Linked DNA regions of Caenorhabditis elegans. The protein of the gene in region 2 purifies or fractionates together with the protein of the main gene of each other region. This does not show direct contact. Each region holds a gene or a part of one and is shown on either strand. Other genes may lie near its edges.

What was found.
Region 1: the proteins of C14C6.5 (region 2) and srrt-1 fractionate together in Caenorhabditis elegans (co-fractionation; one large-scale study listed by BioGRID). This does not show direct contact.

Annotation. Positions count from the first base shown.
Region 1 is NC_003279.8:4,130,865-4,136,234, reverse strand, and holds srrt-1 (Serrate RNA effector molecule homolog), read right to left. Parts: upstream 3,736-5,370; 5' UTR 3,735-3,735; coding exon 3,667-3,734; intron 3,612-3,666; coding exon 3,519-3,611; intron 3,474-3,518; coding exon 3,243-3,473; intron 3,078-3,242; coding exon 2,908-3,077; intron 2,853-2,907; coding exon 1,745-2,852; intron 1,689-1,744; coding exon 1,378-1,688; intron 1,331-1,377; coding exon 1,173-1,330; 3' UTR 998-1,172; downstream 1-997. Other genes in the region: dph-6 (Diphthine--ammonia ligase), read left to right, coding at 214-444, 828-905; let-504 (NF-kappa-B-activating protein C-terminal domain-containing protein), read left to right, coding at 4,043-4,114, 4,172-4,233, 4,425-5,370. UniProt on the Caenorhabditis elegans protein: Acts as a mediator between the cap-binding complex (CBC) and the primary microRNAs (miRNAs) processing machinery.
Region 2 is NC_003283.11:534,479-538,531, forward strand, and holds C14C6.5 (ShKT domain-containing protein), read left to right. Parts: upstream 1-2,149; 5' UTR 2,150-2,168; coding exon 2,169-2,337; intron 2,338-2,515; coding exon 2,516-2,689; intron 2,690-2,736; coding exon 2,737-2,897; 3' UTR 2,898-2,940; downstream 2,941-4,053. Other genes in the region: nhr-132 (NR LBD domain-containing protein), read left to right, coding at 39-136, 180-313, 365-765, 808-1,001, 1,266-1,536, 1,585-1,689.

The sequences.
Region 1 (5,370 bases), on a different chromosome or scaffold from region 2:
TTTCACATGCCTTCTTAAAGGGACACGGGTGTATTCAGCTGGGTCTCGGCGCGAAAAAAGTTAATGGTAGTCTATTTTTTCTCTTTGATTTGCCAAAATAAATGAAAAAAACTGCAAAAAAGATACGAGACACGCCGAGGATAAATCGGTGCGCCTTTAAGAAGGTATATATTTAAAATCCTTTAAAAAAAGTTTACGAACAATTTTTTCCAGGGCCTTCTTGCCGAAATGGTAGAAAATGGTCTCGACGCGATTCTCATCAAAGTGGCCGCCATTGGGCTCGGCGAGCAACATCTCGGAAAAACGTTGTCAGAAATGGCACCAATTATGAAAGTTCTTCAGGATAAATATGGAGTTCATCCGTGCGGTGAAGGTGGAGAATTCGAGTCATTTGTACGAGATTGCCCGCTTTTTAAAAAGCGAATTGTTATCGATGAAACGGAGGTAGATATTACACAATTCTGAGAATGCGTATGGTGCAACATATTTGGCGAGCACAATATCGTGTAGCGAAAACTACCGTAATTCTTCAAATGACTACTGTAGCGCTTGTGTCGATTTACGGGATTGATTTTCGAAAATAATTAAAATTCTTTATTTATCGAAAAAATATAGAAAATTATGTGAAGAAACCCTGTCACTATTCGAAAAGAAATTAATCTCAAAAAATCTAGCCCGTAAATCGACAACAGCGCTACAGTAGTCATTTAAAGAATTACTGTAGTTTTCGCTACGAGACAATCTGCGCGTCAAATATGTTGCGCAATACACATTCTCAGCTCCCGTAATACTTGAAATCCAACTTTCAACATTCTGTATTTTTCCAGACAGTAACCCACCAAGATGATCCCATTGCTCCTGTGTTCTACCTCCGACTGAAAAAGATGCACTTGGAGGACAAGTGAGATGGGAAAACATGTACTTTTGTTAATTTTAAATGTTATATTTACTTTTCTTGTTATGATGATTGTTTTCTAATAAAAAGTTCCGTTGAGTTACACAGAATCATATTTCATTAGGGACGTATTGAAAATGGAGCGTTTTTTAAAAAAGGAGATTATTATTGGCCATACAAAAACATTTAGTTAAAACTAATATTTAATTGAGAAGGGGGAAATAAATAGCATAATTTGTTGTGCATATATTTGAATTGGATTCAACGTAGGATGGAATTATGGAATATCATCTGGAGCATCCAAATCGCGATACGAGACTGGCTGACGACGTGGCGCATCCTCGAAGTAGCGTCCACCACCACCTCGTCCACCAAGTGAATGTCGAGGAGGGAATTGGGGACGACGATCATATCCTCCACCGCCAAAAGAGTTTCCTGAAAATTAATCATATTTATGAAATTTCAAGAGTTGAACAACTCACTTCCTCCACCACCAGGTCCTCGATCATCGTCTCGTTCTCTTCCATATCCACCTCGCTCACCACCACCACCTCCACGATGATCATCTCTTGGAGCTTGTTTGGGCTCACAGTCGACTGGTCTTTGGGCGTCGGCAAGATAATTGTTGAAAAAGTCAGCTTCTGCTCTCGCTTCCTCCAGCTTGTCTTCATGTTTAGACTGCAAGTGCTTTCGGATGAATTCAGGTCCCTTGAATTTCTTTCCAGAAAGCGGACAGAGCCATTTATCCTTTGCCAACTCGACAGTATTCTTTTGAATAAAAGCTTCAACTTCCCTGAAAATTTGGGTTTGTTAAAAATTATTTTTAAAAAAGCAAATTTTTTCACTTACTTTTCTCCATCCTTCTTGCCCATTTTCTCCAATTCTTCCTCGCTTACATACTGCTTTTCAATCAACCCTTTCTCAATGCGGCTATTGAATCCCGAAATAAAATCGTTCACAAATTTCTGTGGAACGACGAGAGCTCCATCCTCGTCAGTAGTGATTGATACTCCAGAAGGCGGCTGCCCACGAACGTGAATCAAGCCACATCGATTCGGCATCGAATCTTCCTGCGCATAATGTCCGTGATTATAAAAATCGATGGAATGAACAATGCGAAGGTAAACGATGAGAAGATCGAGAGCCTTCAGGATATTATCATCGCGCTCAAACCGAATCTTTTCAGCTGGTGCTTCACCTCCATTCGAGACTCCCAATAATTCAGCTTCCTCTTCACTAATATCATTGAGAACATCATGTGGAACAAGTGATTTAACTTCTTTAATCAACGGATTCGTTGAAGCAGCGACTAAATCAACGCCCATACGAATATCCATCTCACGATCAGCATCAGCTTCATCAGCAGCGTTGAACAAACCAATCTTCTTGTCATAAAGAACAGTGAGCTTGACAGCAAGCTTCAGATCGTTAATCGCAACTTGCTTATGAGATGCAATCCCATTATTGGTACGAACACGACGAGTAATGTCACGGTTGATGATTGCATTCAGATCAGTTTCTCGCAGACGATGTGCGTTGAGTGCCCAGCAGATTTCTTTGATATTGATATCTCGCTTGAATGTAGCCCATCCTCTTCTGTAGAACTTTCTTTCGGCAATTCCATCGGTCAGAGCAAGACGTAAAAATCCTGGGCTCTTTTTACAGAGACCCTCTAGTTCCTCATATGTGAGACCTGGTGGGATATTTCTCAAGAAAACCGAGCAGGTTCTGTGGATGTTGACCTTGTTCGATGACTTTTCGGTTCCATCTTCAATGGCTCCCTCTTCCAACTCTTCCGTTGCTCCGGATTCTTGTTTTACTTCTGGCTCTTCTTTCGGCTGTTCGGTTCCATTCCCATTCTCGTCTTTTTTAATGTCAGCGAGTGACTCGTCTTCTAGTTTTTGAGCCAGAACAGCTTTCAACTCGTCTTCAGTTCCATTTTCCAGCTTGACAACAACTGAAAATACAACAAAATTAAACATATATTCGAAACCTTTAAAAACAAAATCTACCTGAATCTAGCATTCTAATGATTGCCTCCGCATCTCCGAAATCCAGAGAGAATTTATTGAATTGTCCCTGCTCCTTCAACTCATTGAAAACCTGCAAGCGCTTCTGCACATTTTCCAAATGCGCCTCTCGCAACTTCTTCGCATCATCCGGTTTGTATTTAAGACGGAACCTGAAATAGATGTTGAAAAATTAGAACTCAAGATATTAAAAGACAACGGGTATTGGAACAAAATGTGAATGGCATCCGTGCCGAGTGAAAAATTCAAAGATATAACCAATCCGTTGACCGCGGCATAATGCGCCTCTGGTCTTGAAAATCGAAGCTGAAATTTACCATTCTTCGTCTTTATGGGCACGGAAGAACCGTTCAAGTTGATGTTTTCTATGTTCTGTCTTGTACTCATTATATTTTTTGATAGCATCTTCTTCCGAGATATCATCTTCCTGGCTAGTGAGGAACTTTTTGAATGTTTGAAGTGGTCCCGAATATATGGAATCCGATTCAGTGGGTAAATCCGAACCATTACCAGAACGACTTACGGGATCGAAACTGTCATCTGCGTCGCTGAAAAAACATAGATTTTCAACGTAAACAAAAAACGATACTAACTCTCCACGACTCCGCTTTACTTGGTAATCATCTCTTCGTCCTCCAGGACGCTTGTTGTCATAGCGATTGAATCCGCCTCCACCACGGCGATAACTGAAACAGAATGAGTGATTTTTTAGTATTTGAAATATAATAGAAAGAAACTTACTCCTCATCACGACGTTCACGGGCGAATTTGTCACGGCGGCGATCGCCATCATCATCAGAGTCCACCATTCTGTAAATAAGAATTTATTTGATAAATTGAAGTGATTCAGAAGAAATCAAATTTATTTGGATCAAAATAAACACATTTTGCGAGCAGAAAATGCAGAAAATCACTGAAAAATATGCTAAAGAACGCGCAATGTTTTTTTCCAATTTGAACGCTGCACGCCGCACGGTTAAAGTGGGCGGAGACTTGCTCGGCAACACCGCCGCGCAGAAATTCTGTTCTTTTTTATCTCCAGTCATTTTCGAAATCATTTTTTTATTGAATTCCGGAATTTTTTGATTGCGCGCCGATTTCTACTTCAATTCACAAGATGAGTGATATTTCTTTGGATTATGAAGGCAGTTCAGATGATTCACGAAGTTCAAGATCATCGTCGAGAGAGGTACTTTGCCGTTTTGCACGTTCAAAAAATGTTATTTTCATTTAAAATTACTTTTAGAACAGAAGAAGAACGAATAGTGGCAGCGGGGACAAAGACAAACCAATGTGGAAGTCAAAAAGGTGAGTTTTCAATCAATTTTTGCTTAAAAAATACAACATTTTCTCAAACCAGAATAGGAAAATCGCGCTTTTTAAACTTGGATTTTTTCGATTTTCTTTTGTAATATTTCTAAATTTGAGACTACTTTGGATTTTCTGAAGCGAAATTTACGTTTTTTTAAAATAAAAATAATTATAATTTATAATTTCAGAGATTCCTCCAGAAGTAGTCGAAGTAGAAGCCGTTCAAGTTCCGAATCAGACTCCCGTTCTCGATCTTCAAGCCCAGTTGTAAAAAATTCGCCTCCAAAACGAAAACGAGAGCCAATTCGTGCTCCGAGTGCCTCACCGCCACGAAGACGTCGTGATGATTCTCCAAGAAAACGAAGCCGATCTCCACCACGTCGTACTCGTCGTAGTCCTTCTCCACCAAGACGTCGTCGAATTTCAAGGAGCCCAGTCAGAAGAAGCCGATCTCCACCACGACGTCAAGTTTCCAGGAGTCGATCTCCTCCTCCGAGAAGACAACAACGCTCAAGAAGTCCACCACCAGCAAAACGTAGACGAGATCAGAGCCGTTCAAAGTCTCCACCAAGAAGAAATTATAGACAACGACAACGAAGCGGCTCGCCGCCTGTTAGAAATTGGAGGGATGAAGAAGAAAATCGTAGAGCTGAAATGTGGTCAAAAAGACGTTTCCAGCGAGTTAATATCCAAGCCGATGGCCTGAATAACATCTGGGGACATTCGCCAACTCATGAGGAGATACATGACACTTATAAATTGAGAGTTGCGGCTGAAGAGATTCAAGCAGAAAATGAAAAGAAACGAGAAGAACTGAAAGAAGATAGAAGGAAGGAGAAGAAAAGAGAAATGAGAGCAGTTAGAAATGTTTCTGAAGACGATTCTTCGACATCTTCTGAATCGGAGGAAAGTGATTTTGAACAGAAGAAGAAGAAGAAGGTGAAGAAATCAAAGAAAAGTAAAAAGGATAAAAAGAAGGAAAAGAAAGAGAAGAAAAAGAGCAAAAAGGCAAATAAGGAGAAAGAAGAGAGAAGAGCTCGTCGTGAGCAACGAAAGAAAGAACGTGCTGAGCTGAAGAGAAAGATTAATAATCGTTCTGATACTGAAGAAGAATGGGAAGAAAAGCAGTCTGAA
Region 2 (4,053 bases):
ACCTCCCAGCTATTTGATATTTTAAATTTTTTTGAAAAATGGATCAAAACGGACCAGAATGCGAGGTTTGCGGACTTGAGAGCCAGGGCTTTCACTTTGGAGTGCTTTCGTGTAGAGCCTGTTCGGCATTTTTCAGGTAATTTTTGTTAATTTTTTTGAAAAATAATAGTAATTTGCAGACGGACAGCTACTGTCCCAAAATGGCATCAGAAAAATTGCCAAAAACCAAGTAAATGTAAAAATGGAGAGGGTCAATATCACTGCAAGCCGTGTAGGCTCAAAAGATGCATTGCCGTTGGAATGAACACTGAAAGTTAGTTTTTTTTCTTCCTTAATCGCTACCAGAAATGTTAAAAATTTTCAGATTTCCAATTTGACCGAGATGGCCTAGTTGCAAAACTCAAAAAGCCCAAGCTCCCAAAATCGTTCGAAATGTTTGTGGGACGGCCTGAATATGTGCTCTTCTGCACTCCTGGCACATCAGCTCAGATTTCTAACCCAAAAACTCTTATCGACGTCAGTGGTCTCGTTAACAAGGCTTCTAACGTTTTGCTAACTGGTCCAGAAATACCTATAATTGCTCGAGACCAACTTCATAAGCTAGCAATTGGATTCAGTTTCCTAGAGAATACTTCTACAAATATGAAAGATTTCCCGCATTCCTCAAAAGAAGATGTGCTCAAAATATGGGAATTTTATTTTCTCACAGTGGCACGGTGGCTGACGTATTTCGACGAGTTTCAGAAGTTGGACCACAAAATTCAGGTATACTAAAAAAATTGAGCTAGAAAAATTGAATAAATTCAGATGACCCTTCTCCTCGCAATCTGGCACGTTTGGGGACGACTTGACAAGCTTCTGGCAACTGCAATAAATCGGAGACGCGGCTTGTGTCCTACAAAAAACCTGTTGACTCTGAGCAATGGGGTTTTCATCGATATGGAGCATCAAGAAGTTGATGTAGATTGGATGACCAATTACGAGCCGGAGCAAGTTTTGACGTAAGTTATTTTGGAAAAAAAATTGAACCGCCATAAAACATGTTTTACACATTTTTTTTGAGAAGTTTCCTCCTTTCCTGTTAAGCCTGTTCAGCTTAGCGTAAAACGCGGAATTTTTCAATTTTTCTACCTACAATTGTCATAAAGTATTGTACATTTTTGACAAACACAGTTTCTGAGAAAAAACGCGAAAGTTTACAAGAAAACCCCCATTGGTTAGTCAAACAACTGGCTACAATTCCAGCGTAATTCCAAAACTTTCAGCTTCATAGACGGAGTGCGCGCCCGAGAGCTCACCAAAGAAATCGACCCTTTAGTAGAGCTTGAGCCATCTGACATTGAATCCGCCTACATGCTTGCCCAACTCTGCTTCCACTACGCAGGAAAACGATTTGCTGGTGAAATCCAAGAAATTTGTGATCACCTTCAAGACGTTCTTGCTCAAAACCTACATGAATATTACCAAAATGAGAAGAAAATTGATCGATACTCGGGAAGACTGGCGAAGCTAATAAAGATTAATGGAGCAGTTCAGGTACTGATTTTAACAAGAAAATTTATTCCAATAAAATAAAACTTACAGAAAAACATTTGGGAAAATCGATCAAAAATCAAAATTTCCAAGACTTTTGACATGCTCTCCATAGAGACTTCCCATCCGGAAATGTTTTATGACACTGGATTTTAATTTGGTTTTTTTTTATTGTTGACGCATGTATTTATCCAGAAAAATGTGTTGTTAATAAAGTTCAGATATTGGCTGAAAATTTGAAGACTGAAACCAATATGATTGTGATTTTAGTGCGGCTAGTAAAAAAATTGCTTAAAACACGAATATGTGATCACAGTGATTTTCAAAAAAAATGTTATCATTCGTTCAATGTGACCTCATAGGCGTGTTTTGAAAAAAATTTCCCCAATGGACAGACCCTTTAATTCACCTTCACTTTGTCGACTGAAAATCGAAGAATCAATGATAAAAACTTAGTTCAGCACGTTGATGTAATCTGCAAACAAATCATTTCCGATTTTTGCAATGAAAATTACGATAAGATATGTAAAACGTATGGGTTTTTGGAGATTATTTTTTAAAAAATCATCACGCCCAAAAAAAGGAGACGCTTAAAAGCTGCACACAAACTTCCTAAATGCTCATTCAGACTCAAAATGTATTCACATGGTATTGCTGCCTTTCTTCTGGTTCTAGTTAGCCAGGCAAGTGCTGAAATTAAGCTCGGATGTAAGTCAGATCCTATGCCAGATGCTAACGGCAAATGCCCACCTGGCACTACTATGATTACTGCTGGAGGATGCTGCCCAGACAATGATGTTTACAGTAAGTTTTTACGATGTTTTACACTTTATTTGCGGCGGACATCTAACGGGTCTCATACACTCCTGATGATAGAGAACGATTTTTAAAAACCCGCAATTTGTCCGCTGCAACCTATTTCTCGAGTTTCGTAGTTTACTTCCAAAACACTGATTACATATGTACCAATTGAAACTTTCAGTCATCTCTGACACAACTACGACAATGGCACCAACCACTCCATCACCCGGATCATGTTGTGATAAGATCAACCCAAAAACTGGTGTCAGTGACTGCCCAGGAATGAAGAACTACTGTAACTATGGTCCATATATTGATATTATGAAGGATCAGTGTCCAAAGACCTGCGGATACTGTAAGTTAGCTTTTTAAGACACAAAGTAGTCACCAGCAAAGGTTCAGGTGGCTCCGGCTCGGCGACAACTCCAGGAATCTGCAGAGACAAGTTGAATCCGACCACTGGAGTCAGTGACTGCCCGGCTAGACGAAATTTGTGCAATAATGGAATCTACCACGATGTGATGAAAGACCAGTGCCCCAAGACATGCGGTTATTGCAAATAGTTTTATGTTTGTGTTAAATATAATAAATACCAGAACATTCTCGTTTTATTTTCAGATTTCAAACAAATTTCAGAATTTTTCCGCATTACTAGAGTCTGTCGTTGGATCTAGTCGCAATGACGACATAATATTTTGGGTGTACGTGCACTCTTCAGTCTATCGATCTTCGAAATCGACCGGAATTTTTTTGGGCGACGTAAAATTGAGGTCGTCGGCGAATGAAACACGCCGCTTTTGTTTCGGTGCTTAGAAATGATTTCTCGAATTCCCGCGCAAATGAATGACCTAGTTTTGATATTTTTGCGGTTTTGGTAGAATTCGTTGAATTATATGATTGAAAACATTTTTGTCACTAATTTTGCATAGAAAACATAAGAAATTTGGTCAAACTCTAGAATTAATCTACAGAAGTTTTCAGAGGAAAAATGTCTGGAAATTTTACATCAGAGAATTAATTCAAAAAATGACCGAGAGATTCAGATTCAGGAAAACAAAAAAAATTGAAACAAACCATGAAACGTTTCTGCGAAAGAAATCAAAAATTATTCAGCCATTTAAATTTTTCTTTTGACAAAATTGCAAATGATTCAGATTGAACCAACAAAGAATAACTCAAAAATCTGATAATAATGGTTCAAATTACTTAAACATAATTATATTAAAACAAGCATATTCACGATCCTGCGAGTTTTTTCTAAAACTATCAGAAAATGGGTTTAAGGAAAGTCAAATTTCGTGGATGATATGACGTCACCTGCCATCGCTGAAGTTGCTCTTTTCCTTTGCTCCTTTCGATTTTTCTGACACACTCCAGATAAAGTTACGTGAATTTTCTCAAAAGGCAAAAAATGAGAACACTGAGATTTCGAGCGTTGCTGTAAGCTTAAACACCTATAATTTTCAAAAAATAACAACTAAAAAATGTTTAAAAAATTTTTCCGACAAATCTGACAATACTGGGCTATTGAATTTGACTTGAAAACTGTTCAGATTTTATTAAAAACTAAAATTTATTCAAAACTTTCCAGAAATTTTTTTTCGCATTACTAGAGTCCATCGACGGGCCTATTCGCAATGACGACATAATATTTTTCCTGTAAGTGCACTCATCAGCCTTATCGATCTTTGAAATCGACTAGAATATTCTTGTGCGTCG